Linked DNA regions of Caenorhabditis elegans. The protein of the gene in region 2 interacts with the protein of the main gene of each other region in a pairwise test. Each region holds a gene or a part of one and is shown on either strand. Other genes may lie near its edges.

Evidence for each region. Proteins that work in one complex are often made in the same cells at the same time.
Region 1: the proteins of C32D5.10 (region 2) and mpz-4 interact in a two-hybrid assay, tested with the Caenorhabditis elegans proteins (one large-scale study listed by BioGRID).

The regions. Positions count from the first base shown.
Region 1 is NC_003282.8:4,824,949-4,829,060, forward strand, and holds mpz-4 (PDZ domain-containing protein), read right to left. Parts: upstream 2,373-4,112; 5' UTR 2,318-2,372; coding exon 2,216-2,317; intron 1,918-2,215; coding exon 1,807-1,917; intron 1,759-1,806; coding exon 1,541-1,758; intron 1,494-1,540; coding exon 1,345-1,493; intron 1,290-1,344; coding exon 979-1,289; intron 934-978; coding exon 758-933; intron 714-757; coding exon 572-713; 3' UTR 540-571; downstream 1-539. Other genes in the region: tat-2 (Phospholipid-transporting ATPase), read right to left, coding at 3,128-3,163, 3,579-3,696, 3,803-3,900.
Region 2 is NC_003280.10:6,348,658-6,353,865, forward strand, and holds C32D5.10 (putative RING finger protein C32D5.10), read right to left. Parts: upstream 3,331-5,208; 5' UTR 3,294-3,330; coding exon 3,154-3,293; intron 3,110-3,153; coding exon 2,828-3,109; intron 2,777-2,827; coding exon 2,455-2,776; intron 2,405-2,454; coding exon 2,273-2,404; intron 2,231-2,272; coding exon 2,065-2,230; intron 2,020-2,064; coding exon 1,915-2,019; intron 1,843-1,914; coding exon 1,805-1,842; intron 1,701-1,804; coding exon 1,634-1,700; intron 1,589-1,633; coding exon 1,099-1,588; intron 1,051-1,098; coding exon 998-1,050; intron 951-997; coding exon 913-950; 3' UTR 550-912; downstream 1-549. Other genes in the region: C32D5.11 (RING-type domain-containing protein), read right to left, coding at 4,105-4,178, 4,227-4,635, 4,685-4,756, 4,839-5,208.

The sequences.
Region 1 (4,112 bases), on a different chromosome or scaffold from region 2:
ATTTCATAAAACTATTCAGCATAGTCAAAAACACCAGAATCTGTCAATCAAAGTATAATAGCTTGTACGGAAGTATTTTTTTAAAAATTGATAAAAATATATAAAAGCTGATTTTTTCAAAAATTCAAAAGTCCTGTAAAATCATATGGAGTCATTCTTTTTTATTTCATAAAACTCTTAAGCATAGTCAAAAATAGCAGCAAATGCCGAACAGAGTATAATAGCTTGTACGGGTGTTTTTTTTTAATTGATAAAAATATATAAAAGCTGATTTTCAAAAAAATTTTTCGGAAATTTGAAATGATTGAATAAAACAATCTAGCTGAAATTAATGTTTAACTAAAGTATTTTCCAAAAAATGTTAAATTGTTCCATCACCGATGTTAGATTTTCCAATAATTAAAAAAAAAATTTTTAGGTGCGACCCATCATTGGCTTTTTAGCGGGCCTTCACGTACATTTGGTTAATGTCTCGCTTTTAGCGCTTTACCTGTGCTGTCTAACACACAGAAGGTCGGTGGTTCGAGCCCGCCCGAGATCAGTCAAATGTTTTATTAAAGAAGAATGAAGTTCATTTTTTAACCGGCATGTTCGAAGATGCCGATTCGGTCACCTTGGTCTTCAGCGGCGGGAGCCAAACGAAAAGCTTCGAGTTCCATTCCGCCGGAATAAAAAATTCTTCAGTTGTGTTGTTGAATCCAACAGCCGGGTCCCTGAATTAGTTGAAGATTTTATCTTAATTTATTTAAAAACATACTTTTTGGTAACTTTCGCATCACTCTTCTTCTTCCCAACTTCTCCCGGCCCTTCTTCCTCTTTTAAAATGGGAGCCAACGCTTTTCCATTTTTCAGAGCTTCAATTCCTTCTACAAAGTATTTACGGACATCTCCACAAAGCAAGTATTGCGGTCGTTCGGCAGTTCTCATAACATTCTGCAATTAAAATAGAAGAAAAAAAATGTGAGGCAAATAACCAACTGCAAGCTGTCCCCGAACCATATTTTTGATTGGATCCGTATTCGGATACTCAACCAACAATCGAATCCATCCATTCGCCTCAAATCCTTCGCGAAATCGTTGACGATTATCTGCCAGAGTGTTGATTGGTTTATCATCAACAGCAATAATAGCTTCACCAATATTCAAACTACAATGTGAAACTGAATCCGGAATAGTGTAGTTGACCACCACTTTTCTGTCGACCTGCTGCACGTTCAGACCAAGCTGCAGGTATTTGAATTGGTAGAGAATGGCCAAATCGATGGTGTGATCCTGTGTGGCTAAGATACCTGAAATTATATGAAAATTACTGTTTCACAATAAGAAACAAATATTCAAACTTACCATTTGGAATCTTAGACGTAGACATTCTGTTCTTCAATCTAGCGACCAGAACCGTAATCTTTGTCTCAGATTTTGAGTTCAAAATCTTTCCGACAACAACCTTGAAGTCTGGATAAAGTGAATGTGGTGCTCTCACAGGTTCAGTTTTCCTTAATAAGGTAAATATTTTTCAAGTTTTCATAACATTTGTCCTTACGGTGTAGTCGTTGGCTTCCTCTTAACAGTCTTCACATTTGACTGGAGACTTGCTCCACCGGTGGTCTCGTCGACATGCTCTGTCAATTGTTTCTCATCGAATGAGACAGTCGTACCGTTCACTTGCAAGATGATGTCACCCGGTAGAATTGCTCCTTTGAATGGGCTCGCGTAATGAACACGAGTGACCAACCCATGTCGATTGACGAGTCCGAGTTGCTGGAAATCAAAAACGTTTTACATAAAGTCATTGATGATGTCGCTTACCGTTATTTTATCCTTCTTTGGGAGCTCAAATGTGGCCTCTACAAGCATTTTGTAGCTGTTTGGAACTGGTTCTCCACGCAGAATGACCACATCTTTGACTCGAGCTTCTATCTGAAATACGTGTTTCTAGAATAGAAATAACTTTTAAAATAAAATTATGTTTCACTACTAGTGTACCATTAAAAAAACCATTAAACCATTAAAAAAAAGAAAGTTTGATTCTATAATAAAATATTCTTTCGAACACCCCCGACTGCCTCAATTACTTAGTTCAAGAAATATTGTTCACAATGAAGAAAAATAAATTAATTATTAAAAAAATCTTGAATAAAGTTCAAAAATTATTATTCAAATTTCTCACTGTTTCGATTCCAAATCCAACTTCCAAATTCCAAAAAACCCCTCTCACCTCTCCCTTCTTGAATCCGGGCCGCTCCCAAACCGTGTCTATTCCCTCTGCACCTTCCGGATAGATTTTATATTTGACTGCAGGTGGAATTTCTTGTGGCATCTTTTCAAGCTATCAAATGCTTTGAATTGAATTTGTTTGATACTTGAATTATCGATTGTTGTGAAATAAATTAGAATCGAGAAGAACAATGATAAGAGGGGGTGGGGGGGAGGGAATAAAAAATTAGAGCAATTGATCGAACGTGAAGATAAAATATCAAAGGTCAGAATTATTAAATCTTTTTCAACGTGATTTTCTAACTTTTTTTTAGAACTGAACTTATTGAGAATGTTTTCGGCATAAAACTGCAAAATCGCGTGATTCAAAATCAATCATTTATGTTTTATGTTTTTTCTTGGGACACGATTCGTATGGAATCGTATTAAAATAAATAAATAAATAAATCGTTGAAACGTGTGAGTTTGAAAATTACTTACCAACGAAGCAAATTAAATTGTGAAATCCAAACTTTTTCACCAATTTCGAGAAACTATAGAATTTTTTAAAAACTGTTACTTTGTGTTACCTTTGTTAAAAAAAAGTAATAATAATGTCTTGAAACTGCATTTTTTTTTGAAATTTTTTTCTGCCACTGCTTGTTTAATTAAATTTTTATAGACACTGATATATTAATCAACAACAAGAATATGAACAATTATTTATTGAATATTTCAAAAATTACACGATTGGAATACATCATAAATTACCCATTTTGATATCAATCACATTATCAGCGATCACCAATTATATAATTACAGCAAATTGAAGAAAAAGAGCAAACAAAACCCAATTGAGAGCCTAAAACCGGTGCCTACAAGACGGGGAAGAATGTTTGAAAGAAAATCGGAAAATAAATGCAAAAAATGAATTTTAAAGGCGAGTGATTACGTCTGGTTGTTCTTCGACCTGTTGGAAAAATAAAATATTATATTTAGAAAAAATGTATCAAAAGTAAATTTATTGCAAAAAAAATGAATTAAAGTTGAAAACTAACAGAAAAAGGGTCAAAGCACAAAGGGTTCAAATGAAAGCACACACTGCACTGCACGAGATCAAAAAGTAGGTCAAAAGTGAATAAATTACAGTATTCCATAGGAGTACTGTATGTTGAATAGTTGTAATCTCAAAATGCATAAAAATTAATATTTAAAAAGAAAAAAATTAAGTTCTAACTATAATAAATAAGTAACACACAAACACAAGTACACACAAAATTAGATAATTTGAGCAAATTGAAACAAATAAGAATTCATTATGAAAATTATTTACAAACGCCAGATTTGGATAAAAAGCGGCAGAACCGGATGGAGCACAATTATACCTGAGTTTCCCGCGAATACACGTGGTTTCTATGGCTCCGTCCATCGCCACGGATTACTGTACCCTGCAGTGGTGATGGTTCCTTTGCATAGGCTGGACGGAAATCCGATGATTGAGACCTGTGAATAAATGGCACACAATAGAGTTACAATAGAAGTACGGTAAGTATATCAGAAGTGAAGCAACGTGCTTTAGAAGTGTGTAAAATTTTATGTGAAAACTTACCAGTCATCAGTATTTACATTCAATGTATGGGGTACATTCTGTGGACGTGTACCCATTGGAAGGTGCATTGCATTAATACTTGAAGCTCCTTGGCTGTCCTGAAATATATTATATTAGAAGGGCAAATGGATAATTTTTTGTAAAAACAAAACTGAAAAGTTAGCCCATAAGTATGTTACCCTTGAGATTTTAAAAATTACTGCTTCAAAGTTTTACTGCCTTCAAACAAAGTGAAAAAAAGTTTTGTTCGAAAAATTTAATGGAATGTTTCAACAACATTATAAATTAATAAATATGATTACTGTACAAT
Region 2 (5,208 bases):
TGGTTTGAGAGAAGTAGAGCAGCATGGTGTAGAATCATCGGGGTTTCAGGTGCCGATCGACAGATTGTTTGTTCTTAGATTCTTTTGATAGGAAATTTTAAACGTTAGAAATGATCAAAAGTGATAAAAGGTTAGAATAACAACTAGACAACAGTTGGTATTGAGTATGTTTTGCTATTAAAGGAACATAATATGCTAAAACTAAACGAAATAAACGATATATAACTACTATATCCATACAATAATATGTAGGTGGAAAGTGCATTAGCGACATAATTCTAAAATAAAGAGTTGGAGCAATGAGAGCATCATCCACATTCACAGCTGTCACCGTGACGTAGAATGTAATGAACTAGAAGAGGGCATTCAAGACCAGCTGGTAAAACGCTAGAACTGACAATATAAAACAAATCAATTAAAAGATCTTAAAGACATTAGGGTGCACTCCATGTAATCGATCAGAAAGGCAAAAATATAAAAAGGAACAAGATAAAAATTTGCCGGAAGCAAACCGAGAAAAAATATTAAAAAAATAACCAAACAATAAACCAAAGGTTAAAAATTTATAGACAGTCAATAGTGACGAAATGTTTTACACGGACAGAAGTACAATAATCAGAATAAAGCTATAAATATAAATAAATAAAAAATGATAGCTAACATGGAGAAACAATAAAAATATGAAAAACGCTTTTTTCTTTGAACCGTAAACAACGAAAATCTAAAAATTGCCGAATAAGTTCGCTTGTAGCCCAGGATGGAACATTTGGAAACTTGCTACTACGAAACATCGAAATGTCAGAAAAAATAAAAGTAAAAAAGTTGTAAAAAATTATGATATGCCTAGGAAAAAGTTTGAAAACTCGTCGATATCCGCCTTTTTAATTGATTTAACAGAGATCAAATGTCGATTTACTGTCGCCTTGAAAGTGCACCAGTTCGAGAGAGATCTGTAAAAATTAGTTATGAGACTTGATCTGCAATATGACAAACTTACAACTTGCTAGCTGTAACATATCATCAGGTTTGAACTTCGAAATGTCTGGAGCACTGAAATTGGAATATTACATATCCACGATAAAATCTTTTCAAACCCACCTTGAAGTGCTTGGCATTGGTTTGTTAATCCTGATAATGGCTTCTTGTGCTGCGCCGACAAGCATATTCATTGATTGTGTTAACGGCATATTGTACTTCGCGATCAATTCCTGAACATCGTCAACAAGCCCCTCAGGTAACTGGCTGGTTTTGGCCTTTTTCCAATGATCTTCTAATGGAAATTCGTACTTTCTCTTCCTGTCGGCACTACCATTTGCTACAGGTTTAGGAAGTGATCGATTCGAATCATCAAGAATAATAGTATCATCACGTTCAACAACTTGAATCTCTTCATCGCTATCTTCCTCACTATTTGAATACGTTCTTGGCTCATCACTGTCTTCTCTGTCATCATCATCCACATCGACACCATCATTATCATCATCATCGTCAATTTCTACTACACTGTCGGATCCACGACTTCGAGCAGAACCAGCACCTGCTGAAGATGTCGTTAATTCTGCCCATGGAATACCAGCGATTGGTAATTCTGTAAAAATTTAACTTTTTGAAGAGCCGATCTGAAAAATCTTACGTGACGGCACCGGGAGCGGAGCTGGCCTGAACGGATTCGTAGCATTAGGGCCAAGACGAAGAGGAGCCTGAAAGTAGATGTCATCGTCCTGGTCGGTGTCAGATGATGAGGCAGGATAATGCTACAATGTAAACTTACACTCAACAGGTCATAAAGGGGCGGCAAACTCACTTGCGGTTGTCCTCGATACATGTGTCCCATGGTAGATCCTGAAAATTTTATTTTGAAGTTTTAAATTAAAATAATATTTTAAAAGCATATTATGATAAAAAATTAAATACCAAAAACTCGGTCGAATGGTGTAAAAACCGGGAATCGGCGCGACCTGTGGTTTGATCTATTTTCTTCGGGTTCAAGCTCAATTGAATCGTCGACCGTCACAACATCTGGAAGATACGATTTTTTGAAATTAAGTACAAATATGATTCTACCATTTCCAGCACTTTCACCTCCGCGATCTGTTCTGATTCGATATGTTATGGCACCGCACCACTCCAAAAATGACTTTCGACTGTTAATCAAAGACTTCAGCTCAGCAATAAATGCAATTACAACCCGACATGATACAAGCCCATTCAATGCTGCATCAACTTCTCTCTGAAACATTTCAAACTTATGGTAAATTTGTTTTTGAACTACCGCATTAAGATCACGCGTTCCACGATCTTCAATCATACTGAATATTCTATTGATAATCTCTTCGTCTTTTCCCTCGGCCACATCATGAAGTGTATAAAAATACCAGCTATTTTCATTGTCGACACGTGGTTGCTGAAATACTTTTCATTAGAACACTTTTATGTTTTAATGGGAAACGTTACCGTCTTCGCCGGAAGGGATTTCAACTCGACGCTCAAGAAACTGTGTAAAACTGCTCGATAGTGATCGATATTATCACGGAATTCAGTTTTCGACAGAGAATTAGTTGCATCTGGCAATCCTTCTGATATAACTTGACGCTCATAGATCAATCTTCGGAATGCGGCTTTTGAGACAATTAATGCTTTTGCTGCTCCATGATCAATGTCGTCTCGGAGCATTTGCAGGGAGTTCAATTGTGAGACACACAGTTGTTTCATCGAGTTCAACTCTTCTAATCGTGGCTTCCTTTTTTGACTATCAGATCTACTTGATGTTGCTCCACTAAAAGAATGTTCAAATACAATTTGTATATTACTCATCGAAAACTCTTACATGATCTCGTCAATTTGGTTCATTAGCCTTCGACAACTTCGAATTTTTCTCGACACAATTCTCTTCTCAGTCACAAGATCTTCTGAAGCAGTCGCTGCTGGCTCTCCTTCGGATTTTATTTGCTGGACGGTTATTTTCTCATCGGTTCCTTTCCGTTGGATGAAGCTAACTGGTGTTTTGCACATTGGACAGAAAGGACCGGATCCCTTCGTGAGCCAGCCTACAATGCAATCGTAGCAAAATTCATGGCAACAATCACTCAACGAGGTTGTATCGATAATTCTGAAATAAATCAATTTTTAATTAATACTATTGAATGAACTTACTCATTTTTGCATACCGAACACTCCTCTTCCGGTTCGTCGATTTCTTCTTTAGACTGGGGACTTTCTGTCATGTTACTTTCTCCAAAATCCTGAATTGTATTCTTTTTCAGTGGTGATTCACTTGTGCTCGGAGAATCCATTGAGCTTTTCAATTCTTTTGAGATTTGAAATATTCCTCTAAAAAATAAACTATCGGAAATTTTTTAGTTTCTCACAAATATTTTTCAGTTTGCGCAAAATTTTCAAGTTTGAAAACTCTAACTAATTTTTCCCATATTCTGGTTTGAAATTTCAGTTTCTCTTTTAAAAATTAAATTAATAAATTAAAATTAATATCAAAGAAAGAAGGTAGTCGAAGTAAAATAAAAAAGCCTAAAATGTTGATAAAGATGGAAGCAATCAAATAGATCTCATTGGAGCGCACAAGCATAGTTTTGAGATATTTGAATTTTTATAAGGAAATTTCCCTTAAAAAATGGAAAGAACAGAAACCGGATACAGAGAAAACACTCACAAATAGATTATTATGAAAAATTGGAAAAAAAAATAGTTGGGTGCATCTTTTGGAATTTTCTAGCTTATAGTAAGTTTTGTTATTATTAGATTCGTTGCTCTCAAACAAAACATCTTTCTCAATAAAACATAAATAATAAAAAAACACACAGAAAATACCAAAAACCTGTCTATAAAACAGTTTTCACAAACTGATTCGCTCAAAATATTATTTTAACATTTCATTAAATATTTTAATAAAGTTTTTGAAAAAAGCAGAACACATAGAATGAAAAAAAACGGGGGTTGAGTAACATTTGAATGTACATGTCACAAGGTACAACTAAACAGTGAAGGAAACGGGTTGTTTAAGAAGCGAGTGTACATTTATCCATACAGATATAATGTTTAAGAAACTCGAACAAGATTATTTTTTTAAATGAGCGTATTTCTTGGATATTAACGTCTATCACGACGAGAGTTTGTTGATCTTTTGGCTGGTGGTCCCTCGGGTGGATGCCCGTTTTCGGCTGCTGAAAAATCAAATTTCGGTAAAAAACAATTTAAAGTTAGAAATTTACCTCTTCTTGCGGATCTTGTTCGATGAGCAACCGAAATAAAGTCAAGTCCATTATCAGCATCCTCCTGATTTATGGTTGCAACAATTTCCGCAAGTGATCGAGATTCTTCGTCAGATATAGCGGGTGCTGGAGTTGCTGGACGAGGAATTTGTGTCGGTGCATTGCTTGTGCTAGCATGTTCTTGAATTGCTTGATGAGTTTGCTGCATATTTTGGTAAGCTCTGTTGAAAAGTTGTTCCACTTCTTCGATTCTTTGCTCCCGTGGTGGCTGTGGGAAATGTCTTCTCTCCAAAATGCTTCTGGTTCGGTTTAAATGCGCGAAATCATTACTCGTCATAGTTCGCGGCTGATAAACAGGTATACTCGTAGATGATGTAGTGGTTGAATTTAACCGTGGCGAGAGCATAACCTGAAACAATTTTGATGATATTTTATGTTTATATATTTTTTAAACCAACCAATCCAGAATAACCATCAGAAGTGAATCGTCGACTTGTATAATCCGACGATGCAGGGTGACGGAAGAGACTCTGAAATATAGAAAATCTTCAAGTTTTACTTACTATTAAATTAAATACATTCACTTCTTTATAAATTCTCAATAATACTCACCGAAAGCCCTCGTGATCGATTATCAAATTCCCGAACTCTTTGTAGAAGTCGATCTCTTTCGATTTCGCGGCGTGTCTGGGGCCGACTCTCAATCGGCGGAATCTCTTCGTCTGTCGGACGATCGGAATCTAAACGTCTCATTGCAGATCTCAGCGTCATATGACTGCGAGAAGTTGTCGGTTGCTGTGAAATAGGTAAAGTTCTAGTAGTTTGTCCAAATGTTACAGGCTCAACTGGAACCGGTTCTTCTGTAGTTGGATATCGAACACGAACATCTCGATCACGCATCATGTGGTAGGCTCTCATTGACAGCGGTACCCGATTTGGCATTTCCAGCATTTGTTCGTAGTATGCTCGTGCCAACGATTGT